Linked DNA regions of Lepisosteus oculatus. The protein of the gene in region 1 interacts with the protein of each later gene in a biochemical or structural test. Links are inferred from orthologs where the notes say so. Each region holds a gene or a part of one and is shown on either strand. Other genes may lie near its edges.

Evidence for each region.
Region 2: the proteins of rps6ka1 (region 1) and magi2a interact in a test that uses a peptide from one of them, tested with the Homo sapiens proteins (2 studies listed by BioGRID and IntAct, with this or other methods). The link is inferred for Lepisosteus oculatus from reciprocal best matches to the Homo sapiens genes RPS6KA1 and MAGI2.
Region 3: the proteins of rps6ka1 (region 1) and limk2 interact in a test that uses a peptide from one of them, tested with the Homo sapiens proteins (2 studies listed by BioGRID and IntAct). The link is inferred for Lepisosteus oculatus from reciprocal best matches to the Homo sapiens genes RPS6KA1 and LIMK2.
Region 4: the proteins of rps6ka1 (region 1) and pdzk1 interact in a test that uses a peptide from one of them, tested with the Homo sapiens proteins (2 studies listed by BioGRID and IntAct). The link is inferred for Lepisosteus oculatus from reciprocal best matches to the Homo sapiens genes RPS6KA1 and PDZK1.

The regions. Positions count from the first base shown.
Region 1 is NC_090706.1:11,002,396-11,009,646, reverse strand, and holds the start of rps6ka1 (ribosomal protein S6 kinase alpha-1), read left to right. Parts: upstream 1-4,088; 5' UTR 4,089-4,703; coding exon 4,704-4,766; intron 4,767-7,251. UniProt on the Homo sapiens protein: Serine/threonine-protein kinase that acts downstream of ERK (MAPK1/ERK2 and MAPK3/ERK1) signaling and mediates mitogenic and stress-induced activation of the transcription factors CREB1, ETV1/ER81 and NR4A1/NUR77, regulates translation through RPS6 and EIF4B phosphorylation, and mediates cellular proliferation, survival, and differentiation by modulating mTOR signaling and repressing pro-apoptotic function of BAD and DAPK1.
Region 2 is NC_090702.1:34,684,097-34,692,267, reverse strand, and holds the start of magi2a (membrane-associated guanylate kinase, WW and PDZ domain-containing protein 2a), read left to right. Parts: upstream 1-4,983; 5' UTR 4,984-5,149; coding exon 5,150-5,447; intron 5,448-8,171. UniProt on the Homo sapiens protein: Seems to act as a scaffold molecule at synaptic junctions by assembling neurotransmitter receptors and cell adhesion proteins. Plays a role in nerve growth factor (NGF)-induced recruitment of RAPGEF2 to late endosomes and neurite outgrowth.
Region 3 is NC_090717.1:6,599,294-6,606,598, reverse strand, and holds the start of limk2 (LIM domain kinase 2), read right to left. Parts: upstream 3,342-7,305; 5' UTR 2,880-3,341; coding exon 2,864-2,879; intron 1,764-2,863; coding exon 1,667-1,763; intron 1-1,666. UniProt on the Homo sapiens protein: Serine/threonine-protein kinase that plays an essential role in the regulation of actin filament dynamics. Acts downstream of several Rho family GTPase signal transduction pathways.
Region 4 is NC_090710.1:24,600,497-24,607,747, reverse strand, and holds the start of pdzk1 (Na(+)/H(+) exchange regulatory cofactor NHE-RF3), read left to right. Parts: upstream 1-4,020; 5' UTR 4,021-4,096; intron 4,097-7,251. UniProt on the Homo sapiens protein: A scaffold protein that connects plasma membrane proteins and regulatory components, regulating their surface expression in epithelial cells apical domains.

The DNA.
Region 1 (7,251 bases):
AATGATCAATGGAGCAAGCAATTTGTTCATAGAACTCTGGGCCTCATTGGTTGAATGGTCATATATTTTAGGCTTCAAATAATTACGTAAGGTAACCTCTCATTAATCACAAATTGTTTAAGGCTTTTAGAAAGAGCTGATTAATGGCTACTTGTAAATCCTGCTTATTAGGGACTAGCTGAACATATACAGTAGCTTTGCTAATATTATTATTTTTTTCAACAATAATTTTCTCCCAGTTATCACACAAATGACTTGAAATCTTCCACAGTATTTTATCCCTAACTAACCAGTTTTCTGTATTGCCCTGTTTCCTACATTTATCCTGAAAGGGTCTCGGTGCAGTTGGACCCCTACCATGCCTGTGGGTGTATATTTTCAGTTTTGACATGCAAAGAGGCAGCCTCACTTCTTCCAGTCAACACACAAAAAAATTTGAATTTATTCCAGATAATACTATTTGAAAAAGTAACTGCAGAAACCTGACAGAGAGTCTTATTAGCCCAGTGGCATTCAATAGTGTTTCCATAACAAATAGCATTCGATATAACTCACATCATTTCTAGTCTGAAGTGAGGAGCCCGCAGTACACATTTATGCTAGCTCGTGGCATAGCCCTGGGAATCCTGATCTGGCTGAGTCATAACCCTCATGCGAATGAAGATCCTGAGATTCCTCGAGGCTTTCGGTAATGATGGAATAATCTCTCAACATCACTGAAATTCTGTACTGGATTTCAATGTATTTTTGAAACACAAAAATATTAGTTTGGTGTAGCATTGGCGGCACAGTGTTAAGCATTGTTGCCTTATAGTGCCAGGGCCCTGGGTTCAATTCCTGGGGTGCTGTCTGTGTGGAGTTTATATGTTCTCCCTGTGTTTGTGTGGCTTTCCTCTGGGTGCTCCGGTTTCCTCCCACAGTCCAAAGACATACTGGTAGGGTAACTGACTTCTGGGAAAATTGGCCCTGGCGTGAGTGTGTGTATCTGTATCTGTGTGTTGCCTGCGATGGACTGGCATCCTGTCCAAGGTGTGTCCCACCGTGTGCCTATTGCTTGCCAGGATAAGCTCCGGCTCCACTGAGATCCTGAATTGGAAGAATCAGTTAGAAAATGAAGGGACAGAAGATCAGTTAGGTCTCACTGCGATTCATTATTTCATTTTTGTCATTCTTTTTTCTTCTGTGCAATTTCTGCTCAGACCGGTTTGCACTCAGCTCTCAAGACTCGAGAAATATACTTAATAAAATAACGTCACAGATGGGAGGATACCGTTGTGCCAATCTGTCCTATTTGTTGCTAACAGTTAAGTTATTCTGAGGGTCTCGTCCAGTTTTCATCAAAGAAGCCTGGTTATTGGCTTCAAACCCATTGCAGAATACCTTGTTCCTGACTCCCACAACCTGTGTCAGAAAGGTGCATCCTGTCCTCATGTGAATTGCACTTGCTTGTGCTCTGATTTGTGTGTTACTGGTGGTCTAGTCCACTGGGGTTTTGGAATTCTTGAATCAGGTCCCTTCGCAGTCATCTCTGTTCAAAATGTAAAAATTGTGAATTGTGAATTGTGGGAATCTACAACACGCTTCCCAGGCAGGTGGCTAAGACCAAAGCTCTTGGCATTTTAAAGAACAAGCTGGATGAAATCTTAGTTTAAATTTACTAAACTATCAAACTCGGAAGTTGGATATTTGATATTGCTTGCATTCTTTCTTATGTTGTTGCTTAAATTATATTATGTTAAAATATTATTTTAACTTTTAATTTTAAGTGTATAACATTCCTGTGTATAAGACCAGGGGACCAGGGATGTACTGATCACAAATCTAAATGTGTTATTACTAATGTATTGTACACATGTAACATAATATCCCTTTAAATTTCTCTTTGTATTTTTTAACTGCATATAATTGCATATAGTTCTCCCGAGTTGTCTATATTAAATACCAGAAGGTGTTCCACCAGGTTTGATTTTATACAAGTTATTTTTTCATTTCCTCTGCTACTTCTACAATCTTTGCTCATCTTCCCATTTTCTTATTTCAGCTGTGAACTTGACTAGTTTACTGACTATATGCCAATCAAGTTAACATAGGAACTTTGCTGATTTATGAAAACTTTGGACTCTGTTTTAGTAGTCATTTCTCCATCCAAACACAAGCAATGTGTTTGATCTGAGCATTAATCCTTTTATTGGGAACCTCATAAAAGGGCTTTTGAAAATCTAAATATAGAATAAAACGTGTTCATCTTTCATCCATTGCTGGTGTTACAGTACTTCTCCAAACAACTCTAAAGTGCTTTAGTTAGCAAGACAAACCTCTTGCAATCCATGTCAACTATCCCTTATAATCCTACTACCATACAGTCAGTCCTCTACTGTAATCTGATTATATTCTCCATTGGCTTGGGTTCCTTACTCTTCTTGTGAATGGGTGCTATATTTCAATTTTCAATATTTCTCTTCTCTTGAGAGATTTTTGTTAGCAGTGTATAATAAAAACCACTTTCTTTCTTTAAGTATGATTAATAGAATAGCAGAAGGCCCTGCTATTTATTAATGTCTGCCTAGTGTGCCTACATTGTCTCTTTTATTATAGAGCTTTGTCTTTTCTCAGCCTGAAGGGTGTTGTTGAAGATTATTCCCTGGCATTCTTCTAGCATCGAGAATCGACACTATTACATTAGCGAAGATGTGATGTCACAGATGCAGGAGCTCCGGAATTTCTGCAGAACCAGAGCACATTGCTTCAGTGAGCAATTTCCACTGGTGAGGATCACCATTGGAAATGTCTGGGTGTTAGCAAGATCTCTCTTGCTCTACATCATACTGCTGGCTAGGGTCCTGTTATTACAGCACGTTACTGACACCAGTGATGTGACTCTTACCCTCGAGTAAGCACTCTAAATTATTTTCTGTTGTAGCAGTTTTATACAACTACTACTAATAATAATTGTTAATATATTTGTTATATTAATTTATTATTAAGGATTAATTTTGGTATTATATTTTTTATTTAATTAATGATATTTAAGCAATACACAATTATTACTATTAAATAATAATAATAGACTCTTAGTAGTAGTAGCTGCTGTAGTTTATCATTAGTAGTAACAGTAGTAGAGGAGGGTAATTTGGTTTTATTCTTATTCACTCCTAAGGACAATGTACTGTATAATGAGGGAACCCAAAAGTGTCGACGGGAAGCACTTTCCTGGGCGACAAATCGTGATCGGCAGCTCACGCTCAGAAGAAAAGGGGGAGACGTGCTTCACCAATTGAATCACATTGGAAGCGAAAGCAGGAATGTTATTGAAGAGCCCCCTTTATGAATGTATGAATTTCAAATGGTCTAATCTTTGAGGATTGATTGCCAACAGAGGGCCCCAAAGGATTCGTTTGTTCGTGAGAGAAGCTAGTGAGCGATAGTTCGCCTATTTTTTTTTTAATATCGAGGCAGGAAGAAAAGCAGTGTGTTATCATTAAAAAGAGATCCGAACCGGTGTGGGACTGAGTTGTCCCCCGTTTCTCTGAGCTGTTCATTCATTTCTTTAAAAGACGGTGCTCTCTTCCACTGCTGGCTTCTGATGTCCAAGCCGGGGATACTGAAATCTTCCCCAAAACAGCTACATTTCTGAATGAATGCAATATATTGATTAATATTTCACTAAATTAAAAAATCCACACTTCACAAATTGATGGTAACAGTTAAGTTGCATGCTATTGATTTTTAACACGCGATGAAGGCAACATTAAGTAAATATTTGTAACTAACATTTTTGGAAATTAGAATAATACATAGATTTTATACGGAGATATTTGAAATATTCTTTGGGAGGGATTCCGAAGACTGGCCACTATCTTAAAAAAAACAAAGTTATTTGAACGTTTTTATTTGTTTAATTTAAAAATAAAATAAGAAAGACTACCATCTCCGGACTGGCGACATTGCAAATACCCTCTAGTATTCCCCTGTTATCTCCCCCCATCAATTCAGTCGTAAGGAATAGCTGTCCTCGCTTGCACCACGTCTCCGCTAGAGGGCGACAAACGGCCCGGACGAGCCGTGAAAGGGGTAGGGTGAAAGCTGGCTGGAGGCTGCCAGTTGCGGAGTCAGAGATACACGGCGCTGCGCTCTCGGTTCGCAGCGGAAAGCGTCTGACAACCTGGGTTAAGCTCCATGCAGCTGTCGTAAAACGCCTGTTTGGAAACAACGCATTGCAAACCTCTGGGAAACGATTTGCGAATTTATTATCCAGAAAGCGATTCCTGGGGCGTAAAGACCCAGGGCTGCTCAGGTGCGAAGTGCCATCGACCTTGGAGAGCTTCGGCTACATTGTTTCTTTCTTGCAAACCTGTACGTACCTGCCTAGAAAGAGCCCGCCGAGTCACACCGAAGAATCATCCCCTTGCTTGCTCGGGCTAACACGGGAGACTGTATCCGTCTGAAGCTCGCAGGAGGACAAGTGGACAAGTGGAGACGCCGACGTCATTTTTAAAGGGGGATCATTATTGTTTGTAAACGACTGGGTTATAGAGGAGCTGCTAGGAGGTTTTGCCAACAGATTCCCACGGTAGGATCCTGTGAGCGAGCTTTCCTGCTAGCAAGACGTGGACTGCAAAAAAAAAAACCTCGGGAGTTCTAGCTCAGCCTGGCTTCATTAGTGTAACGATTTCTACGGGTGTTTGGGAAGATACGGTTTCAGGATGCCACTCGCACAACTTGCAGACCCATGGCCCAAGATGGAGCTTGTTCAGCTGGAAACCGAGGTAAGAATGCAGCCGGTTCGCTTGGCGTTGTGAGTCAAGTGTCCCCCCCCCCCACTTTCCCATTAAGTGCTGTGGAAGCCAGGTAGGCACACGTGGGGAAGAGGTTACAGCACTCGAGGAGTAAACTCCATAAGTTCTTAATTTAGGTGTTATGAAGTAATGGTTGCATAACAGCAGAGCGTTTCCTATAGCACTGCGATAAAAAAAATAGATTGAGTGGGGGAAATAAAAAATATTAGGCATTAACAAGTTTTAAAGAATTTAGGAGAAGATGTAAACATTTGAGCGCAGAAAGTTTGAGGAGTATGTGATTTTGCCACAGTTAACACCGAGTCCCAGCAATGTATATTAAAGTTTTGTGAAAAGTTTTACTTTGTCTAGTGTGTGAATACATTTGAAATCCGCTTGCTGCAGAAAAGCCTGCAGCAAGATTCATCCAGATAGTTGTACTTGCCACTACCATCCCAGGCTCATCACACGCCTGGTTCGAGATTGCATTTTATTTTTTTCTAATGTAACCTTTAGCATTAAACAAGTTCTGTTGTTGTTGTTTTTTTCCACTGAAGCTCGACCCGTTGATAGAGCAACTTGGGGTTGTCGGTTGTACAGTAAGTGGCAGAGCTGGTGCGCTCTTCTGCAGCCGAAAGTCCAGATGTGTCGAATCTACAGGTGTCTAGAACAGCGAGGTGCTGTAGGAATGACGGTACTGAAGTATAGCGTTAAATCGAATATGGACTAGGGACGATTAGACTGAATTCTGTTGGTCCTGAGAGCTGGGTTCCTACCTACATATTGTATACAGAGCCGTCCGCTGTACTGGGTGTGGTTATTCCTTTTAAAGGGGTGGTGAAGACGACTGCGTTATCTGATTGACGGTGTCATCCTTATATTTGTGAATCGGTTTGAATCACGGCCCCTAGTTACAAGTAAACTCGCTAATCTCTCAATTCCCTTCTCCTCCAGTCAGTGTTCTTGGCAGCCTCGCCAGTGTGTCTAATCGATGATCCGTTTGACTGGCCCGATTGCTGCTTTCTTCCTGAAAATGCTTGGGAATGCAATGAAAATGCTCCAGTATTAGTGCTGGCAGTCAGTGTGGCTGCTATGCTTTCCAAACAGAGCTTTTGGGACTGCACAGAATTATCTTTTAACAGCCGTAGACTAGTCTTGACAGACGCGGGGCAGAGAAAGAGCCTATTTCTGAGTGTTTTTCCCCTGTGTGTTTATTGCATGGGCTCCAGCTTTTCTTTTGTACGGCCTGATCGACGGGAGCTCTCAGCCTTTTATAGTAAGTGGAGGCGGACAGGATCGTGACGGAGGGCGATCACCGCTAATAAGGAGCCAAGATTTTAATTACCCTGAAGTTCACAACTGTGATTGCAACAAATAATGTGAAGGAGGTTGTGGTTGAGAAAAGGTTGTGTCTTTGCTGTACAGTAGGCTGCACATCCCCTGTAATATTTGTCAAAGCATACAGAGTCCTCAACGAGGCTGTTAGATTTTACACTATACTGATCGTGGGATTAAAATTCCCTTGATTTCTGGGGACCCCCTGGATAGTGTCAAAGACGCCCAGGTTGACAATTCAGTTCTGAAAGGTTTCACTAGTGATGATGAAGGTGTATTTAGTGGGGCACATTGTTGGATGGGTAGGTCACGCCTTTCCTCCTGGTGCAGAAGTTCCATACTGTTTGCCAAGTAGGGGACAATGTTACGGTTGGAGCCAACCTTTGGATGAGTTGACCTTAAGTTTGAAAATGACCTGGCTTCTGGTAATTAAACTAGATAACTGGAAAAGTGCAGAGCTCCTGTGTTCTGGTAGAATTCATTTCAAACATTTTCTGTGCCCCCGTGTTAAATGAATTGGCTGGGACATCCCAGCGTTATCTACCTTTTGTGCTGTCATTGAGCTTCTGGTGTACAGTGACTGTGCACCTCAGAGGAGAGAGGAGAGAGGGTTGAAGTACAGTACCCTCCACCCAGCTGCATTATGTCTGCAGAGTGCAAAGTGCCTTTGTTATAATTCTCAGAGTTATTAACTTTGTGGCAGCACAGTGGTGGAGCTATTAGCAGAGCTGGGGCCCTGGGTTCACTTTCTGGAGTGTTCACAGTGGAGTTTGTACAGTATGGTGTTCCTGTGTTAGTGTGAAATTTCTCCGGGTGCTCTGGTTTCCTCCCACAGTCCAAAAACCTGCTGGTAGGTTAATTGGCTTCTGGGAACATTAGCTTCAGGAGTGAGTGAGTGTGTGCGTGGCCTCTGTTGGACTGGCCTCCTGTTCAGGGTATATCCTGCCTAACGCCCATTGCTTGCTGGGATAAGCTCTGGCTCCTCTGTGACCCTGAATTGGATAAAGGAGTTAGCAAATGGATGGATGGATTAACTGCTTTGTATAAAGAAAGCCCTTGCCAATGCACTAAGGTTCTGTGATGCTTCCTCAGCTATGCGGGTAAGGATTTGGCATTGCTGGAGTGCTCTGCCATGCTGGGC
Region 2 (8,171 bases), on another chromosome or scaffold:
AACCATATTGAAAATAGTACCGTGGTCAAAAATGTGTTGACACCATGTTACTTTATTTTTTTGGAATATCACCTGCACTTGTTAAATATCACTTGCTCTAAGTAAAATTTGACAACCCAAACACAGGTATTGTAAAATATGAAGAAACATCCATGCTTATTTGTTCAGCTTTCTCCACGTAAAGATATGCAGATCTGTGGTCTCAGGATCACTATTTGAAACAAAAATAGAAAATCTTCACTTTCATTGACCAGAAAACATTATTTAGATAAGATTCAGAAAATGCATATTTTTCCTGTTAAACTTTCTTCTTAAGACTTGCAGCTCCAGTTTCAGTTCATAATGTAAAACATTTCCATAATTTAAGAGCCCAGAAGTAAAATAAACAGTCAAGACATCCTATTTAAGAGAATAATGCAACAGTGTGAAGAAAAATAGAACTTATTGTTTGTTAAACTTTCTGTCTTCATAGAGGATTTTAATAATTGCCATTTACAATCCTGATGTTTAATGAAACTCCTGTGCCCCCCAAAACACATGCATACTGTATACTGACACACATCCCAACATTGCTTCACATTTCCTGAAAACTAAAGTGCTAAAACCTGTATTTTACTTAAAACAACATAATGATAAAACATAAAAGTTCACATCCCTAAAACCATTCAGTCATCATCTTAGAAACTTGATTAATTGGATACCAAATTCAGCATGTCGGGGAGTAAAAATCTAATGTCCCTTCTGTTTTTTGGATTTCTCATTAATGGACTCTCAATGATGCCTTCCTTGACAGGAGAAGTGAAACCTCAGATAGATTATTACCAATTATCCTTTCATGCCACTTCTCTACTGCAGACAATACAATGTATGTTATTTAAAAGATTCCCACATCAAAGCACCTAACTTCTCGCCACTTCATCTGTAGAATATGGTTGACAGAATTACTCTACTGCAAACTCTTGCTATCAGTTCAGGTCAGTGGCTTCTCTCTCTATCCCTCATTCTTTGTCACTCTCTTCTCTCCTCTTTTGTGAATGAAAATATGAAATGCTGAATCCACAGCATAGATTCCTTAACTTAATTACATTCCAGGCAAATAGAAAAACAGAGTTTTGACAGCCAACAGCATGCTTGTGGTCAGTGGACATACTTTATTAATTCTGTCACTTACTGTATAGTTTATCAGTGTAGCATGGAGCAGATGACAACAGCTCCCATGCTGACTTCGCACCAAATGTTCCTAGCTAATTACGAAGTATTATTCCACATGACCTATCTGCTAAGATAGACAGCTCCCACACAATGTCAGCAAGGACTTGTCAAATTCATTTTGCTATGAAAATAAAATTTCTATCCCACTTTAAAATGAGACACTCCTTCTACGGTTGTGTTTTGGTGAGTGTACCTCCCACCTCAAGAATTTCAAAAATGTGCAAAACTCACCACTTTGGGGAGGTCGAGATTATTTTAATGTTTTAAGTGATGTTCTTTTGCTTTTGTCTTATTTCCATTAAAGAGAACAGAAAATAGAAATTGCAATGTCTTGCAAATGCATCATCCACTTCAAATGAATCATTTTGCTGAATTTCAAATGAGGTACAGTATTCACATATTGTAAAGTCAATATTTTAATCAAAATTTGAATGCTCAAATAAAATGCTTCTGTGGCTGAAATAAGGTAAAAGTAAGCAAAGGAAGGAAGTGAATACTTTTGAAAGGCACAGTAGTTCAAATGGTAACCTTTCAAATTACTTGGTTGTAAGACATACTGTAGTGTAATAGGAAATATTCTAGCAATTTAATTTTCTATTCTGTGAATGCTTACAAAATGTTTTACATAATTTAACAAGGAAACAAAAATTAACCTTGATGAAACAACTATGTATTTGTGTTTTTTATACAGTGAATCATATTTTAAAAGTCTCCACTGTGAACAGTAAACATATAGTTGGCTGTTTAAATAAGATATACTGTATACACACAAGTCAGGCATCCTGTGTGGGTGTTTCAGCCAAAATTTCAACAAAATGTAACACCCATTAAATATTTTGCAAAATAAAGGGTGTAGTGTTAATGTGGTACTGTAACTAGTACTGTTACCTCACAATTCCAAGATCATCAGTTTGGTCTTACAGTTGTGTACCAGGTGTTGAAAGTGCTGTACTTGTAACAGTATGGTGACTGCATGGACCAAAACTTAATTAAACACATTTTATACACAGTATAAAGTATATATTTAGCAAGATTGAATATACTTTTCTTAAAAAGAATCACAGCTTCAAAGAAAACAAAATATTATACATCTACTCCAGCTGGTGAAAAATGTCTTTGTGAAAAAGAAATCAAAATTCAGCAGCATGTTATAATCTTATTTGTCTATCTTGCTAATACATGGTTTAAAAGCTTCTGTGCATATTAAGCTCTCATACACTCAATTGGCACAGGTCAGCTCGGCATAATGCTTTAATCCAATGTTTCTGGGATTAGCATACTGTATATTCAGGCTTCTATTTGGAGCCTTATTATTTTAATCTACATGGAATATCCTGATAATCTGCATAGTGATATCAGTTTATTATAGCCTGGCATCTAAAAGCCATATGGTCATCCAGTTATCCAAAATACTGAGAACAGGATAAAGAGATATTTAGTTTATTTCACATCCAAAAACTTTGGGGACATGTGAACAAACTTCCAAAATGTATAATCTCATAATTGCATTATATTAGATATCCTTTTGTTTCAATAAACATTAAATGGCCTTAGCACAAACCTCAAATTTATGAGGTATTTTATATCTGTGTAAAATGGTGCGCGTGATTATCATTGCCATTTTACAAAGCATTATTATTTTATACACATTGAAAAATGTTGTTATTTTATAGACATTTAAAAATGATTTTGATAAAACTGCAAATAGAAGGTCTTGATATCTTGTTGATAAAACCAAAGAACAAAGAAAGGGTTGATTGCAATGGCACTCAAGTGTAACACAAAAGGAGAAACATATGTCTGGGTTCATACAAAATTGTGAAGATATACTTCTCAGTAACATACTGTAAATTAACTTGGTTGGGATTATTCTTGAGCTACAGTACAGTGCCAGGCACAAGTGGCTGGGTGACAATCTGCCTCATACCATACTTGTGATTGTAAAAAAAGCCTGGGCGATTTAAATTTGGATTCCATTTGAGGCAAGTGTACTCCAACAAATCTACTAAAATGTTGCACAGTCTCTCTTTACGGTGACCAGAACCAACTGTCAAAGGCTGTTACAGTAAGTCTTCAGTACGGTGTGCTTCCTTCACAATGGCACTGTGCCTAATTACTGTATGTGCAATGCTATTCACCCAAAGTACTTTACAAGGCAATTTACTGAAAGACAGTATTCCAATGCATCATGGAAACAAACTACAAAAGAGAAACACTTTAAAAGAAAACACTATTCACACTCTAGTGAACCTTCAGAAAGAGAGTAATAAATATGTTTGTGTATTCTAAATCCTAGAATCATATGCTTTGTGAATGTATGAGTATTTTAGGTAGGATAGCTTTGGTTTAACCTGTTTTGTTAAGGGTAGCCCCCTGGACATAGGATGAGGAGGCTTGAGCCCCAATCTAACAGAGGAAATAACCAAGCGGTAGCTGCAAGGTGGGGATGAGGTGGATGAAGACTAACGTATATGAGCCAAATGTGAAAAGAAGTGTTTGCATTATATACTGTATACTGTACACTATATACTGTACAGCATATACAGTAGCAATATTCAGTAATGATTATGATTAGGAACAGCTGGGTGAGATTGACTTTGTGTGTTTATCCCTCCTGAACTTCAATTAATAACTTCCTTTTAAGGTTGGAGTGTGTTAGGTAAGAAAATATGCATTTTTTTAAGTAATGTAAAACAACGACTAAAACAACCTTTCAATAGTTTTTGAGAATCAGGAATGAAAGTCCTTTCTTTACTTTCAGAGATAATACAGTAGCTCTTTTCATTACACTCACTACAACTACTGTACATGAAGGTACAGTACACCTAGGAAGAATTTGGAAAGACTGGTTCCAGCATGACACCGTTGTCGACAGTTTTCATCACAGTGCTTTAGAATTGGATTAGATACCACAAGCTGTTTCCAGTCCCTTACATCCACTATCCCTGTGAATGAAGTTGTAAAATTTGGCAAGCTACCTGCAGGTAGTTAGCCAAATTTTACAACTTCATTCACTTAGAAGCCAAGCGAGGACTATGTGTGCATGGAAAGCTTCAATGTGTCCTGTTGGTTTTACTTACTGGGCGTAAGGTAACCTTCTTTGTTAAAAGTAGCATGTTAACAAACGAAAACTATACAGTAGGTCTTTATTTAAATGGAGTCTGTTAAGCTCATACTTTACGTGTTTTTTTAGAAACGTAATCGTAATCAATTAGAAATGGCAACATGTCTGAGACATCATATGTACGAATTGCAAATACATGAAGGTACATCTAGAAAGACGCAGGGAACACTGATACCGCCATGGCACATCTGGGAACCCAGTTTTAAACATATATTATGCCCTCAATTCGCGTTAACACAGCGTTTGCTATTTCCCTGCATTCAAGTTTATTTTTAGATATTTAAAACGGGAGAGATGCAAATTTCCTAGAAGAATTTCTAACGAATTAAAATATTATGGCATGCTGTGTATTTGTAAAGGACCTGAACGCCCCATTGTTAAATGTGTCAGAAATCTGCTTCGTTAATTTCGTTTTATATATGTCTGTTACAGGCATCACTAGCACATCTCGCCGATTCCCCTTTGAATAGTTTGCTTTCTCAGTTAACAAGCTTAATCCCTCAGTATTAAAATTAAACGCACCGCCTCTTTATCTTTCCTCCTGGCTATTCTGCGGAGGGATTCAGAGCCCTGCCTCTCTCCTCCAGACATCACATCCGGGTCAGTTGCCTGCAACTCTGTGTAAACCAGCTTCACAGTTACAGTGTAACGCAGCCCCAGACAGCTGCTATAGAGGCTGGCTGACATGGATATTACCAGTAGCATCCAGTATTAATAAAATAACCTAGTATCCACTGGGGCATCAAAATCCAATATCACAGACAGTACTGGGAACTTATTGCATGAATAACTCATGCAGTATTTATTTCAGCCATGTCCAAAAGCCTGAAAAAGAAAAGCCACTGGACCAACAAAGTCCACGAAATTGTCATTTGCAGGAATAAAGAAGGCGAGCTTGGGTTTGAATTGAAAGGAGGCGCTGAGAATGGGCAGTTCTCCTATGTCGGAGAAATAAAGCAAGGCAAGGTTGTCTGTCAGAGTGGAAAACTGTCCCAGGATGAGCTACTGTTGGAGGTCAATGATACTCCAGTGGCTGGACTCACCATCAGGGATGTGTTAGCCGTTGTCAAACACTGCAAAGATCCCATCAGGCTGAAATGTGTCAAACAAGGTGAGTAGTACTATACTGTAATGTAGCCATCGACGTACCGCTGCTTTGATTAAGGCAAACCTATACTGTATACTATACAGTTCATGTGTGTAGTTCGTGCTATCGAGTGTTACTCCTGTTTATGCACTGTACAAAACGACGACAGTTTTAAATCTAAAACTTGGATGTCATCGAAAATTATGTTCTCTCGCGTTCTTGTTGTTTTTCCAGGAAAGGTCAAAGTCAGCAAAGTTTAAAATGCAAAAGAGAGTGGGCCGTTATGCGTAGCCTTAGATACCAGTTACAAACTTAAAAGCACAACAAAGCGGTTTGGTCGTAAGAGGTGTCCTTTGGATGGGAGCAGATTAATTAAAGTTACCGTAAATAATTTCCTTGAGAGTTTTTCACCTTTTATTTTAATATTGTTGCTGTTTACACGTTTTAGAATCCGGTCTTAAGTTGTAATGTGAAGTCAAGCATCAGTAGCTGAAAGGCACGGAAAAGATGAGTTGTTTTCGGCTTCAATAGCTGCTATCAGAAGCTAAAAGGAAATCCCATCCTCGACCTCCTGTATACAGTTTTACAGTCTTAGTATTATGCCTCATGTAAATCATTCTTTGCAGTCCGTGTTGTGCTTTCGGGCGATATTGTATGATTGATGTCTTTCGCTGGAAGTGAAGGAAGGTGGCGAACAAGCGTTCCCAGTTTCAGGCACACTTTTGCAGTATGTGGGCGTGGCGTTGCAGCTTTACAATCAAAGTTTATATAGAGATATACAAATAAAACAAATATTTTCCAACGTGATCCAACAGTGATAGCTTAAAATACAACCGTAGCTTTAACAATGACACAAATGCTTTATTTTAACAAGAAGAGAAATGTTAATATTTTATTTTTCTGTTTTGATTGTCTTTGGATTTGAGCAGTTGCCTTGTTCCCTTCAAGGCTTAACTTCTTGTTGAGAGCATCAATGGGATACAATATCTGTTAGAAAATTAAGTTAGAACAGTTGCTTTATTTAAGAGGAAGGACATTTTGATTTGTTACATGTTTCATTTCAGCTGCTATCTGCTCTAGATTTTCTGCGTTTTGTTAAAAATAAGCAAATATACAGTATACAGGTACAATCAGCAGAGTCATTGAGTCAGACTTGAAGGTAGCAGGAAAACAATGTCTTACAGCATTTGTTTTGCTTTAAACAGTTTTATATATACACAAATGAATAGGCTTCACTACTAATATTGATCAAATTATACTTTATATTGAAAGACCCACACTGATTCAACCTTAATATTTACTGTTGGTGTGTATCTCCTGTTGCATTTGCACCCTTAATCTGATGTCTGAATGTCTCACTGCTGCAGATAAGAACTGGAACCAGTGTTGGCTCAGAGCTGCTTCATGCAATAATGAACCGAACATGAGGCGTGATCTTGACTTGTTTTAGTCATGCTTGTTTTAGTCGTGGTACAGGAAAAAAGGCATTATGAAACTTAAGTACTGTATGTGTTGTTGTGTCCGATACATCACAATATGTTTGACTGGTTGTGTAGACTGCATTTTGAGAATTTTGATGATAAGAGAGTCTTGAAGCTAGAGAATTATGATGTATTGAGCTTTACATCATGAGTTAATAGTTTTGCTAATTAGTTCATTTTTACAGATACATCTTCAAAACTGGAAAAAAAACCAATATTTTTTGCGAGTATCTTTGGGATATTTTCTTTGATACACCATTCTTGCTTAACAAAATACTATTATGGGGTAAATAATGTAATTTGTGATCGACTGTGTCTGTGATGAACTCCCATTCATTTCACCATTAACAGCAAAGAGTTTATTTTTAATTCCATTTAATTCATTTTAAATAATGATAATATTAATTTTAAATAGTGCCTTTCATTATATGTTTTCTGAAGTCGCTTTTTGATTAATCAACACCAGAGACAGCTATAGTGTAGATGAGTCAATACAGTAAACTAAACAATTAAAAGCTGGAATAAAAAAGTTTTAAGAAAGGATTTCAAGTGCTGATGATATGAGCTAAGAGATCATTCCATAGCCTTGGTGCAACATTAAAGAAAGCATGGTCTCCCATGGTTTTGGGCCTTGAAAGAATCCAGTGTGCTCAAAATGTATACTGTAAGTGTTAACAGTTAATTGATTAGCTTCACAGGAGTTCTACTACGGTGCTAAAGCCCTTAAAGATGAACTGCATTATTTTGAGTTCCATTCTGAGTAATTTATTTTAATTAATTTTAGTTAAGTTCTGTGCCACTATGTTCTGATCATACTGCAACTTAGGAACATAATTGCAGGTACCAGCAAGCACTTCATAACTATTCAAGCCTGGAAAACATAAAACCATGGTTTGCTTTCTGTATCAGATTGGGAGAGATGTGAAAGGATTTCTACCAATGCTGCTAAGATCGAAAAAGACATCTTCACAGTATTTCAAACATGAGCTTCAAGTGCAAGCTTGTATAAAAGGTTCCTGACCTGTGTCCGTGATGCTATACTAAGACTATCAATAGCCAAAGTGTGCGGAGTTGATAAGGAGCAGATAATGTGGTCCTTTCAAAGTTCAGATGTAAAAAGTATTATTGCTTCAGTTTTTAACATCATTTAAGCACAGTGACAGGACAGATAGGATTTGATTAATGGTAGGTGCAAACATCAATCTGGATGTTATCAGCATAGAAATAATATCTGATGCTTTACCTATGAAGAATCTGACTCGAGAGA
Region 3 (7,305 bases), on another chromosome or scaffold:
AACAATTCTCATTTTATAAAGTCACACTGCTGAAATGTTTCATAAAAGGCAACAGCGTTACCACCTCGTAGCCTGATCTCATCAGATCTCAGAAGCTGAGCGAGGCTGGGTCCAGCCAGTATCGGGATGAGAGTGGGTGACTCCCCTCTGGATCCGAATTTCCACATCAGTCTCCCAGTAAGGAGATGTGAAGTAAAAGCAGCTCCTACAGCAGTGTCCCTTTAGATGTCAAACTGACTGGGTCATTAATTAAGATCCCATGGCACTGATCACCTGTAGTCCTGGCTAAATTCCACTCTACAACAGCACAATCCGATCTGAGTAAATATCCCAATAATTCAGCTGGTGGGACACTTACTACCTCCTCCTTCTGATCTTCATTGCATGGGGGACTCTGGTGCCAGACATCACTCAAGCAGATCCCCTCTTATAGTTAGAAGTGCTTTGGTATCCTGTGTGATGAAATGCACTCTACAGATCCCAGGACTTAACAACACTGAATTCACCGAAGTACGAACAGTTAAAATTCGTGCATCACATGCCTGTCTACAATACTGACAGATCCTAGAAGTTAATTCCTATTCAAATCCCTGGAGATGTATGACTACAGCATACAGCCAGCAGCCATATCACCCTGCAACTCACAACTGGCAACCCACTGAAGCTAGGCAGGTGTGAGCCTGGTCGGTACCTGGATGGGAGACCTCCTGGGAAAAACTAAGGTTGCTGCTGGAAGAGGTGTTAGTGGGGCCAGCAGGGGGTGCTCACACTGTGGTCCATGTGGGTCCTAATGCCCCAGTATAGTGATGGGGACACTATACTGTAAACAGGTGCCGTCCTTCGGATGAGACGTAAAACCGAGGTCCTGACTCTCTGTGGTCATTAAAAATCCCAGGGTGTTTCTCGAAAAGAGTAGGGGTGTAACCCCGGTGTCCTGGCCAAATTTCCAATTGGCCTTTACCAATCATGGCCTCCTAATAATCCCCTTCTATGAATTGGCTACATTACTCTGCTCTCCTCCCCACTGATAGCTGATGTGTGGTGAGCGTACTGTTGCACTATGGCTGCCGTCGCATCATCCAGGTGGATGCTGCACATTGGTGGTGGTGGAGGGGATCCCCATTACCTGTAAAGCGCTTTGAGTGGAGTGTCCAGAAAAGCGCTATATAAGTGTAAGCAATTATTATTCATTATTACCACTGACAGCTCACCTGCTTTAAAGTCAACATAGGAAAGAGACGGTAAGACGACACTGAGAAGTCTCTAAAGACTCAAAAACTGAAACAGGCGTGTGAAGAAAGGTATCGGTTTAAATACATATTGTACCTATATAATAAGTACAAATACATTTCGACTTTATATGCTGTCTAGCGCTAAAAAAAGCTCAGTGCATGCTTTAGCCCGGCTAAAGAAAATGACTAGGTTTGCCACAATAATAATAAAAATCAGTAAAAAAAAACTGCGAAAGCCGTAGATATCGGAAAAAAACTATTTTATTTGCTACAGCTCATAATGTAACAAAAACAAAACGTCAAGGTGCATCTCTGAACCACTGGTCAAAGTGAAATCAAATGAAGACTGCAGTTGCACAGGACAAACAGTGAGTTTTAAGCCAGGCGCATTTTAACATCAGTCACAATTGCGCACAGCAGCTTCTTGCACTTACTGAAAGCAGGAGTTGTGCCAAACGTCTTGGAGAACTTTGATGTAGAAAGTGTCCAGAATCCTGCTTCCACACCCCACACAACGGTAAGACTCGTCACCTGAGGACCAGACAGTGTCGTGAGGCGTGAGAAAAAAAAAACATCGCATTTGGACGGCACAAACATCCACTTGCACCACAGCAGCGACTGGTTTTCTTTAAGAACTCGTAACAAAAGCAACCGTCCTCCCCGACCTTTTAGCGCAGCATAAATCAGCGATTTACTGCGCTACTTGATTTTGGAACTTAAAAGGAGCTCCTTAAAAAAAACCCTGCATTTTTTAATAATTGTAACAGTTTTTTTTGCACTTTTACAAAATTAAAAGGTATTTATTTAGATAAAACAGTCTGAATAGAAAAGCAAAACAGCTTTAAAAGGAGCCATTAAAGTGTCATTATGTAACCCTACGGGATTGATCTGTGTCCAAACGATCATAGCCGAAGTATGGTTTGAGTTAGGGGGACTTTTTTTGTCCAAGTTATTTTTAGACAGAAAAGCTATGAAATACCAGCTAATTTATACACGCACAGGGATCAAAATTGAGCGACTGCAGACTGAGCTGTGACTTTTTCCCGCAGGCTGGGGAGAAGCAGTCGTCGCCTTTTAAAATGTGCGCACCAACACTTCCAGAATATTTCACACCTTCCTAAAAAAATGAACCACCAGCTGTTCATAACCTAGACACAGAAGTGTGCATTTAAGTGTTAAACTTTTGACTGGAATCAATACAAACCTTCAAGGGGAAAGGGTTCAGCGGTGTATTGAAAGAAATTCACACATATATATGTACACACACACATTTCACTTTCCCGAGCTTTGGTGCTCAACACATTTAGCATATCGCCTCACTCGGGCTGCTGGATTAAAAACATGAAAGAAACCCAAACTAAACACAATAATTGCGACCGGAGGAGCTCTCACCAAACCTGAAAGTTGCGTGTTCGCAGGCTGGTATTCAGGTTACAACAGGTTCGCTAATACTGGAATTTGAAAATGCTCCCCCCTAACTTTAACTCCACTATAAACGGGGCAACAGTGAAGATTATATATATATATTGCGAATTTAACTAGGATTTACTGGCAAATGCCGCAAAGATAAGAATGTAAACTTTGTCGCATCATAAACCCTTTTGCTAAGTGAGTTCAAATGAGCTACTTACCTTGCCGATCCTCCATCTAAACCTTGCTCGTTGACTTTGCTTTTGCCTATATTACCATGGTTCCCTGGGGCTGGCCGTACGCTTATCATTAGAAAAAGGCACACAGGAGAGCGTTACGTAAGACTTTATTTAGCCGTAGTTGAGACACCGCGAATTTGGAGTTAAATCCCCCCTCTTTCTCTAAGGGAGGGAAAAAAAAAGTTCTGCCCAGGACTTGCGAACTTTCTTGTTGGCAGCGGGAGTGACGTCATGCACTTGAAATTCCAGTACGGAGACCGGTAGGGATCAAACAGCAACACCTGGGGCAGGAGTTTAGCCAAAAAAAAAAAGTCCTCTCCAGTCACTCAATGGGCTGCAGTCAGACCCGTCTGCCGACAGGGACACGCAAGCAGCAGCACATCGGAATAGCTTCTTTAATGCCGTCCGCATTAGTTCATCATTGGCGTGGGAAAACCTATCGAGGTGCCCGCCGATCATGAAACCCTCACCCTTCGCCTGTGATGTGCAGTTACGTTACCCACCCCCCAAAAATGTGAATGTGAAAATATTTACGGACGCATTTTTAAAATGCCATAGTGGCGTATGTTGGTGTTTTATTCCGTACAGGTGAAAGTCAAACAGGTGAAGCAGATTAAAGGGCTTATCTTTGTGATTTATGTGCGTCTCGCTATCAAATCTACCCACCCGAGACATCTGTTAAAAACAATACTTAATGCTAAAACTGTGCATCGAGGACGTTGCTGTTGTCCTTTGATATCATTTAATGCGCGTTGAGTAGCTCTCAGCGCACAAATCTCTCTTAAGCCTTTTTAGTTCGTTTTGTTGTCCTCTTGATTAGAAAACTAAAAAGCTGAAAAGAAAAGTCAGATTTATACCTATATCTGCAATTAGATCAATCTTAGCAGAGTAGAAGTGTCAAATAATACATTTATCATTTTAACGTCGTTTGGAGATTATTTGGATGCCTTAACTGAAATTAATGAGGCCCACTTTTGCTTTCTTAGAGCAACACTGACATCTAGTTGATTTCACAATTTAATTATGCTGAGCATGAAAAGAAGCCTGCCTTGTGTACCTGCAACAAATTCACAAATTTATCACAAAAATGGAAATCTTTTTTTTTTTTTTGCAGCGGGTGCACTCAACATTTTATTACAAGACATTAGTTTATGAAACTCCCGCGTATGAACAGGGCTTTCCTGTGAAAGTTTAGGCTAGCAACACATGTGAATCAGTCCTGGTTCACGCTTTGTATCGGCTGCAGATGCTGCCTTGTGGGATTCTGTGGCAGATTCCTCTCCTACAGCTTGGACAAACAAGTGCCTGTTCACGGGCCAGTCTACCCTAAATGCCACACGTCATCCCAGCTCTTGGCAGTGGAGCTCGAGACCGGGCAGTAGGGCATCCACTGCCACATAACTGCCCCACTCTTACCTTTTAGAAAAAGCTGCTGTTCCCCGAGCAGCACGAGGGTAGGTGTTGTTGCGCCGGACGGTTGTCATGTTCTGGAAGAGGTCACAGAATGGGATGTCCCAAGACGAGATCCGAGCAGCACTGTGCACTCTGGTTAATGGCATTCACTAAAACTGCAGTTGTGTAGCGACAGGACACTCCTGCCCAGACCATCACACTGGGACCCCATTGATTATGGTGAGGTGTTACGACTCATGGTCTCCAAGATCATGGTCCATCTTTAACGAGTTTGGCTATAAAGTCTAACTAGGTTAGAAACTGCAGTCCAGTGTTCCTGTGAACACCTCAGACTTTGTTTGGCCTTTGGTATTCACAAGCTATAAAGGCATTGTTCTCTTGATAATGTCTTCATTATAGATAGATCTGACATTCACCAGGTTAAATCACCTCATCGCTTGCACACGATTTAGTGTTGATGCACCAAAGAAAATTTAGTGGTCAGTCACGAATGATCAATTAAAAAAATTGAAACAAAGACATTTAATATCCAAAATCCATATATTTTTATTTTTCAAATAACATACTATCATTGCACAATTGTTTTTGGGAAGCTTCGTTGATGCTCAGTAAAAACCTTCAGATTCCCCATCATATTTAAGATGGTTATGCCAACATTTTGCAGGTAAACCCTTTCACAATCACAAAATTCCTTTATGTGTGATTTCTGTGGATTTAAGTGGTACAAGTATTAAGTTCAATACATTGAAAGGGCAAATTTCATTATTGAACTGTTTACTACAGCTTCTTCTTCATTTAAAAAAAAGGGGCAGATGAGTTATTCATTGCTAGCACAAAACAAAAAATATCGATCTCATGCTGAATGTCTTTTGTATACATATTTATAAGACACTGAATGTTCTGGATCTAGGTTATCTTAAGAACTTGTTGCACGAGAGCAGATAAACTCTTAATCTGTGGTCTGCTGATTCAGTTCTTTTTGCTCAAGGGTCAACAGGGTCTTCTTGTGTGCAGTGCCCTGCCTACTCAAATCCATTAGGGAATTTGCAGCTCTGCATATTTAAAATGTGCTTTAAAACCTCTCTTTTCACTGTACACAATGTGCAATTTAGTTTCACTCTTGGTTTTAGTTGATTCAGTTTGCTCTGATTTTCTCAGTTTCCTGCTGGTAAGGGTATTAAGCGAGCTCCGATACAGTGCTTTTAAGTTTCAACAAAAAAAATTGCATTATAGATATGAGTAGAATAGGTTTTTGTCAGTGCTATCTCTTCTTACCTCTACTGACTAAACGCTATGAACTGTTTTCAGAACATCTATGCAGGTAAATTCAATGAGGCTGAAGTAAGCCAGAGATAATTCTATAATTCGTAAACAGCAGTTTCAAAAATTATGGTACAGACACTGTAATATGTACACCTTGAGCACATCTAAAATATGTGCTGCCCACAAGCACTATTTACAAAGCCATTTTGTTTTTAAAAAACAGCGTGGTCCTGTTTGGTACTGTTGAGACAAGGTGTTTTGGATGAATGTTTTGTTTTTCCATAACAGAAGTAAGGTTCTCACATAGGATTTTCAACATGGAAATGGGAAAACAAACTAAAGTACCAAAAATATCTGGTACCTTTGTCAATGTCAATTCATTGACAAATAATGTTTCAGTGTTAATCTTAACTTGGACAGTTTATAATTTGTAGTAATAACATAAATTGTTAATAGATTAACTCTTGTGAATTGATTCTTGAGGGTTTATTTAATCAAATAATCCAAAAGGGTACTTAAGCAAACTTTAAATCTAAAGTTATTTTTCTGCTTCCCCTCTTCAATTTTAATTACAGGCATCACTGTAATTTCTACCCTTTTGCTTTACATATTTTAAACAAAGACATTGAAAGAACATTTTCAAAAATACCTTTATTTAGAATCTCAGATATGGCATACAGAAGAGATGTAAAAATTAAGACAGTCTAAATGGAATAATTAAACTGAACTGAATGCTTCTGATTTTTTCTAAAATCAAGTCTATTTATGTGGCTGGCAACAAATGTAACACTACACAATGTTATGCATTAATCATCATTCGTTAATATAATTTACCAGATCCATTAAAAAAACAAACAAACCAATAATCATACAGTATAACAGAACTGAAGACATTGCACTTCTTCATCTAAATCAGGTGAACTGTGCTCATATTTCAAAGAGTTGCAACAATTAGCTACAACGTTTGTGAACCGTAATATAGACTTTTGAGAGACAACCTTCAAATCTTTCCCTCAACATTAATTTCTAAACAGAACTGAGCTACAATTTCACATAGCTCTCTCATTTCCACATTTGCTTTACAACTTTTGGAACTGGTTTTATAAAAAGTTGCAGGGCTAAAGTTTTGAAATCATTCTCTCACACCCACCTTGACAGAGTCAGAATGAGTGTCAGCTATTTCTGAGAGAAATTAAGAAGTAGGCTTCAGGAAGGCAGACATTGAACAGCTGCTTACACTTCCTTACTCATTAATTTCCTGTTAAATGTGGAATAAGTCTGGTGTGTTACAAGACGGACAGATCTTTCCATTATATTGCTTAAGCTTGTTTCCTAACATACCAGACCAAATTTCTAACCTTTCTGAAGTTGTCAAACCCAACCAGTTGTTTTCTTTAATCCATTCTACAGAAACAAACCCTTGGCCGACAGCAAGGTTGCACTATTGGTGAAGACTGCTAAACCGAAACATTTTACAATACATGCACTTCTGTACAATGGAGAAACAAAGGTGCTATTATTGCATAGATACTAAAATGGAGAAAATACTGTTATTCTTTCCCAGTGGTTAGCTGCTCTGTATCTAGGTGGTATGAATCTGTTGATCATACAAGTTCTAGGTGTCAGAGCAACAAGGCTCAGTGCACTGAGCGTGTTACAAAAGTGATATTGCCTCCCCTTCTGAAATCCAGACAGTGGATAACTCTGTCACAGCAGAGGACTGGTCTGTTGGCGTGGCAGAGAGTGTG
Region 4 (7,251 bases), on another chromosome or scaffold:
ATGTGCATAAACCAAGCAAAGTGATGCTGTGCATAATCACCATAAGCTGTTACTGTAAGCAGGCGTCTCAAACACGAAGGATTGCAGCGTCTTCTGGCTTTTCATTCACTCCAACTCATAGTTAGTTTGTTTGGTTAATTGGATAAATACAATAATTCTCTCCAGGCCTGCAAATTTTTAAATATACTGTATCAGGATTGCAAAGTATCTTTTAAGGTACCGTCTATGGGGAAAAATGCAACATCCATTTGTCTAAGAAAATGATTTGATGAAGTTAATCTGAGTTCTCAGGTTGAATAGAAAACTAGAAGGTAAAGCAGTCATCTAGGAACTGAGTCCCCCTCCTTAAAGTCATACTCACTTTGGTAGCAAAGAGCACTTCATTACACTAAGCTTTGTGAGCAGCTGGAATGAATTATCCAGCCCAGTCCAGCTGGACCTGAATGAACTTCAGTGCTGTGCCGGGTATCTCCAATCTTGGACCTGGAGGAACATGTGTATGTACAGTAGGATTTCCTGGGCTCAGTAGCAGTTGTGGAAGAATTAGGAAAAGTTTTTAAATTTCTTCAGTTCAGCTCTTGATATAGTTCATTAAGAGCATAAATGAACTGAAATCCTTTTTTCAGGAACGAGGATTGTGGATTTCTGTGCTATGCAGTAATTTAGTTTACACCCTGATTATCACTGATGTTGGGCTCCGTAATATTCAATGTACTGTACATGTGAAAATTCTGGAGTACTTCTAATCAGTGTGTGAGATCATGATTTTGTCATGTTAATTATATTGTATTTTTTTATTTTTATTTTTATTTTGTATTTGTATTTTTATTTTTTTTGACACCTGAAGAAGGCTCCACGGCCGAAACGTTGTGTTCTCTTTCTTCTTTTTTTCAGCATGGAATAAACCTATTACTTGTTCCTTTGCAGCCTACGCATGCTGACGCAGCTACCCACCTGAACTTGTATTTTTTTATGTTTGTCATGATTTTAAAATGATGGCACAGTGATTAGCATTGCTGCCTTGCAGAACTGGGGCACTGGGTTCAATTTCTGGGGTGTTATCTGCATGGAGTTTGTACTGTATGTTCTTTCCGTGTTCACGTGGGTTTCCTCTGGGTACTCCAGTTTCCTTCCACAGTCCAAACACATGCTGATAGGTTAATTGGCTTCTGGGAAAACTGCCCCTGGTGTAAGCTTGTGCATGTTAGTGTCTGTGTTTGTGTCCGTGCGTTTGCCTTGAGATGGACCATCCAGTGTGTACCCTGCCTTGTGCCCATTGCTTGCTGGGATTGACTCTAGCTCCCCTGTGACCTCTGTATATTAGATGAAGCAGTTAGAAATTGATGTTTTAATTTTTTTATTCTACTAAAAGAACCTAATTTCATTACAGTACCTTGGTTAAAGAGCTTGTTCAATTTAACTTAGTTTAACTTAGTTTAACTTAGATTTAATTTAGCTTGCATATTAATCTAAGATAATACCTAATTAAAAATGTGGCTAAAAGCAAAATGAATTAAATAATTAATTTACCTGTGTAACATTTGGGTGAGGGATGATTAATTGATCCGTTGAAGCAAGCAATTGACGTGGTTAATGGAGTGGCAATGGCTAATGGTTAGTGGCAGAATTAAGATGGTACTGTGTACAAAATCTGCACTGTGAGAACTGTCCATCTTCTTATCAGATTACATTTGGATTAGCCACAATTGGAAATCAAAACCTGTACAATGATTTATTGTTTTGGTTTCATTTTAAATGTTTTTAGAATGTTTTAGTTAAGGGATGGACAGCTTCTATTTTGCACAAGTTACATATACTGTATTTTTCCATTAGCATCTGATTAAGACCTAAAATAAATGATTCAAGTAGGTAGCTGCATCAGCATGCGTAGGCTGTAAAGGAACAAGTAAATGTTCATGGAATAAGCCTTTACTTGCCATCCTGGCCAGATTTCCCATTGGCCCTTACCAATCATGGCCTCCTTGTCACGGACGTCCAAAGGGACTAACCGTGGGGAGCAGGAGAGCGGAAAAAGACCCAAATGCGTAGCGGCGAGACGGGAAAAAGGCCCGGGCTCATAGTGCAAATAGTTCAGGAGTGCCGTATAGAAACCTATGCCCTCAGGGAGCGGACGTGGGGCGCCCTGGTGCTAGGACATCCGAACATCAGTGCTGAGCGAGGACAGAGTGCAAGACCCGGAAATATATAGCCCAAGGGAAAGAGAGGGACCGAAAGGACAGCAGACCGGAAACTAGGGACAGGACAGAGAAGGAGTGCCCTCTGGCTGCAGAGGGCGTGACACTCCTAATAATCCCCATCTATGAATTGGCTTCATTACTCTGTTCTCCTCCCCACTGATAGCTGATGTGTGGTGAGCGTTCTGGTGCACTATGGCTGCCGTTGCATCATCCAGGTGGGGCTGCACATTTGTGGTGGTGGAGGGGATTCCCATTATCTGTAAAGTGCTGTGAGTGGAGTGACCAGAAAAGTGCTATATAAGTGAAAGCGATTATTATTATTATTATTATTATTATTATTATTATTATTATTATTATTATTAAATAAATCACATCATATAGCTAAATATTTTGTTAAGTGATAAATTACAGACTTATATTAAAATTATATTAAAATATGCTGCGTATGTTTCACAAGATATTGGAACTGCCCAGCAGTGTTCTAAACCCTCCATCCTTCAACTATAAACTCTTATATATACTGTAGTAGCAAGATATACTGTGTTTAGCCTACATATATAATTATAAGTTAGTGGGTGTGAAAAAAACTATTTCACACCTACTATTGTCAGGAAATACAAAGCAGTAACACTTACTCGCATCCGTCTTTTTTGTTCTCTGTATGAATGTGGTAATAAAGTAAAGCAAAACTTGATCTGACAAATATATTTACAATAACAAACACACAGTACATATTACTGTTATGTACAGATATTTACAAGATTGTGAGTACCAGGATCCTACCTTCTATAGAACCATTATAACATGCAGAACTACTGTAGAGAACTGCATTCTATGTTTTAGGCACAAAAACGAGTAGGAATGAGGAATGACTAAATCATTTCCTAAAACTGTTGCTAAACAGATGATATCCTATTTCCATTCTTAAACAAGTGCATCGCTAAGCAATAGGGAGATTTCTTCTGCTCGATGGATACCAAAAATAGAAAACAAATTCTACTACTATTATAGGAACAAGTAATAGGTTTATTCCATGCTGAAATTTCATTAGATATTTTTAGCGGTGTGATAACAATAACGGGGAAATAAAAAATTCAATGAGAATAAAAACATTTTATTTAAAAAGATGCAAAAATGTAGCAGAGCATTTTGTTAACTTCACTCGAGATAAGATGTTTGCTTTATCCATTAACAGCTTGCTACACCTCACAGAATTTAAATAGGCAATAACTGACCGGGGGCAATGCTGAGATGCATACCCATTGATTTTCTATCAGTTAGCAATTGAAGATCTTTCTCTTGACCAGCAAACAGAAGCTTCTGGCAAGAGTAAATATATAATACTTAATAGATGCATGTAAATAGTCAGAAAGACACACAACTGTAGTGGTACACATATTCTCTCCCTCTTGTTCAATAAACATCTAGACATATTACAGTATTAAATATAAGATGGAGGTGAACAAATAACAAAGCCTATCATGTTTTGTGTATATTTGATCATTATATATGTGATATTTGAATCAATCTATAATTATTGTATTTCACTTCACTTTAATATTATTTATTATTTTATGTAAATGGACCTTACTTAACCTGATATCACATGTTTAGACTGTTTCTGGCTGTCGAAATTGAATGCGTTTTTGTTCTTTTAAAGGAACTTAACTACAAACTCTGTTCTGCTGCATTTTGTAAAATAGGCTTGCTATCACACTTCTAGTTTACTTCTTTCCTAAAAAGGAAAGTGTAGTTATCTAAGATTCATAGGACAAAATCCAGGTAAATATCTAAGCCTTTAAGTCAACCTTTGGTCTCTCAAAGTCCAGCGATGAGGAGATAACACCTGAAGGAAAGAAAGGGAAGACTCCCTTTGGATTGTACCTCCACAGCGACAGGTGAGTTTTGGCGATCTAAATTTAATCTAATAAATCTATTCTATTGAAAAAGAGGTCCAAATAAAAAACAAGTATAGGTGAAAGTATGATTTCTTTAAAAGTATAAAGTAGCTTATATTACAATGGATTTTATCTGTATTTGTTTTTATATAAATTTGCATAAATGTCTAGAATTTTGTAACGATCAGTAGTTGACCAACATGGTCACAGAAATGTACTGTAAATTTAATTGTCACTAGTTGGATGGTGATTTTTGTGCCCTTTGAATTAATACCATTGCTGCAAAAATAAGTTACTATATTTCATGGGAGAGAATAGAAATGTGTTGTAGATTGATTTGATCAAGATGAAATAGCAGTGAGCCAGAGAAAGTAAAAACGCAGAATTACAATTTAAAACTTCAAGGAACGTGAAGACCTGTGTGTTCAAAATGTGTATATAAATGTAGGTATATTTCTGTAAATAGCAAATGCAAACTTATTAAAACTTTGAGGCTAATTGTTTAATCTAACAGTCTAACATCAATTTGTGTGATGATTGCTCTTCTCCTACCAAGTCTCTCCATTTTGTATTTATAGATGTTTTACTGCTGAATGCTGAAAAGGTTTTTATATGTCCATAAAATATTTCAACTAAATGAATTTGCATTTTCTTTGTAGAGACAATGTTTTTCTAATATTTCTATCATTTTGTAATATTTTAAATTGGCTTGCTTTTAAACATGAAAACAAGAAAATCAAGAAATGTTTCCATAAAACATTTTAGATGAAAGGGGCATTGTATGTATTTCTGAAATCAGAAATGAAACTCTTGACATATGAACCAGTTCCTTAGGTATTTCTTTAGGAGTTAAGGAGAGAACCCCATTCACCAGAAAAATACAGTATCTCACAATAAAGACATGGATGTACTGTATGTATAGCTTATATTTACATCATGCTCCCACCACCAATAGATTTATTATTGTGGAACTGAAGGGCAGCTAGTCCTATCAAAGAGCTCAATCACCTGGTAACTTAAGAATTCCTAAGTTAATGATGAACAAGCCAAGGAATTTAATGTGAATCAGGTGATGTATGTGTCTAGTCAGCACATTTTGTTAATGCTAAACTTAATCTAGTCTCAAATGTATTGACTTTTGCCCAGCTATAAGAAACATTTAAATTTCTTTAGTACTGAACTTGGTGTGTGTCCAGAAAATTAAATACGCTCCATAAATTTATTTTTCTGTGTATTTAGTTATAAAAGAACCTTCTTTGTTGTCAGCTAATGTCTGGCACAGGAATTAGAGTATCATGACAACACAATTGAAAATTACATACAGTGTATTTCAGAAAATAAAAACATCTGTTGTTATAAAATGAGTAATCAAACGATATCATGTTGCTGTCTTTGCAATAAGGTCCTCATAGTCAGACTATGGGAGATGGCATAATAAATTACATTAAACATTGTTGGCATTATGTGAGGAATTACACTAAATATATTTTATTGGGCTTAAAAAAGAAAATAAACTTATTTCCACAGACATATTGCTTTATAACCTATTAATTCTTTATAATTACAATTTCAGTGGTACTAAATAGTATTCTGGCATTAGACATTCTTTAGAATGAATACATTAATTCCAATTGGAAAATGAAAACAGTTCAACAAAGCAATGGCTTACCACTGGTTCTTTTAACAATAATTTTCAGCAATTGGATTGGATTTTGCAAATAAAACAAGCTTTTAAGATTGTCAGTGGTGATGATGGCACCTTCTGAAATGTGGGGCTCGATTAGTATCACGGTGGAAGACCTCTTAGGTAAATCACACTACTGATGTGATATACAGTAGTAGACTGGACGTTTCCCCCTAAAACAGAGTTTCCAAATTAATGCACCAGTGCAGTATATAGTAACAGTGGGCATTTTGCTATAGGAAGAGTCATCTTTCATGTGAAGTGTTAAACCACTGTTCATACAGTGCCAAGAAAACGTTTGTGAGATCCCAGTATAATTAAGGGGTAATTGTTTTTTTTTACCAAGATACCTTTCTTTAATTGAAACCAGTCTTTCTCTTGTGTGTTCAACTTTTTTTATTCTGTAAACACAAAAAATGATCATACAAATAAAAACAAATTTCCCCCATTACCCCCTCCCATCCCAAGTCATTCTTGAATAAACAAAATGATTTATATTTACCAGTTCAATGTTTTTTGAGAACCAGCAAAAAAAAAAATAATTAAGAAATTGTACTGTATGTAAAATAATGTTAATCCCTTGTTTATTTGTCTAAATGGTGTAATTAGACCAGGCGGTTAAATAATTGGTTACAAAAGACACAAAGACTGAGTATAGGCGGCCTTGTCCTTGAGTATGGGCAGTCCCGCCCAAGAACTCCCCACCACGAGCATCCCAGAAAAATGAAAAACCCTCAAAAATGATACAGCAAGTCACTCCAGTTAACAGAAAATCATCCAGTAAACCCTGAGTAACATCTACAGTTCTGCAGGCCTCTCTCAGTGCAGTTTCAATGTTCATGACTCACCTATCACAAAAACCTGAATTGGAATGACCAAGAAGAAACCATTTCTCCATAAAAAGAACATTTTCAACTCACAATCACAAAAGATGATCCAGAAGATGTATCCTCTCTGGATAAACAAGTCAAAGGTTAAACTTTCTAGCCACAATGAGAACTGTTTTGTGTGGCAAAAAAGAAGCAAAGACATCCAACAGGAGAACCTCTTCCTGAGGTTGATGGAAGTAGGAGTTTCACATGGTTTGTTCTGCGTTGCTACCTTGCAGTCCGGATGGTTTACTATCACTGAGGGAATCATTCATTCAGAGCTGTATCAGTAAATTCTGGAGGATAATATCAGGCCATCCTTTTCCCAGACAAAAGTATGTCATGCAGCAAGACAACTATCCTAAACATACAAGCTTGAGAAGAAGAAAATTTACAATTTGTATTGGCCAAGTCAATGGCCAACATGAGAGGACCTATAGTGAGTGGGTTATCGGAGTATAAAAAGCTACTGTACCCAGCCACACTGTTGGAGCTGACAACCTGGTTCCTTTCAAGAAAAGGCTCAATGGGATCCTTGGAACAAATACTTACTAATAAGTTAGATGGGCTGATTGGCCCCCTCTTGGCGTAACTTTTCTTAT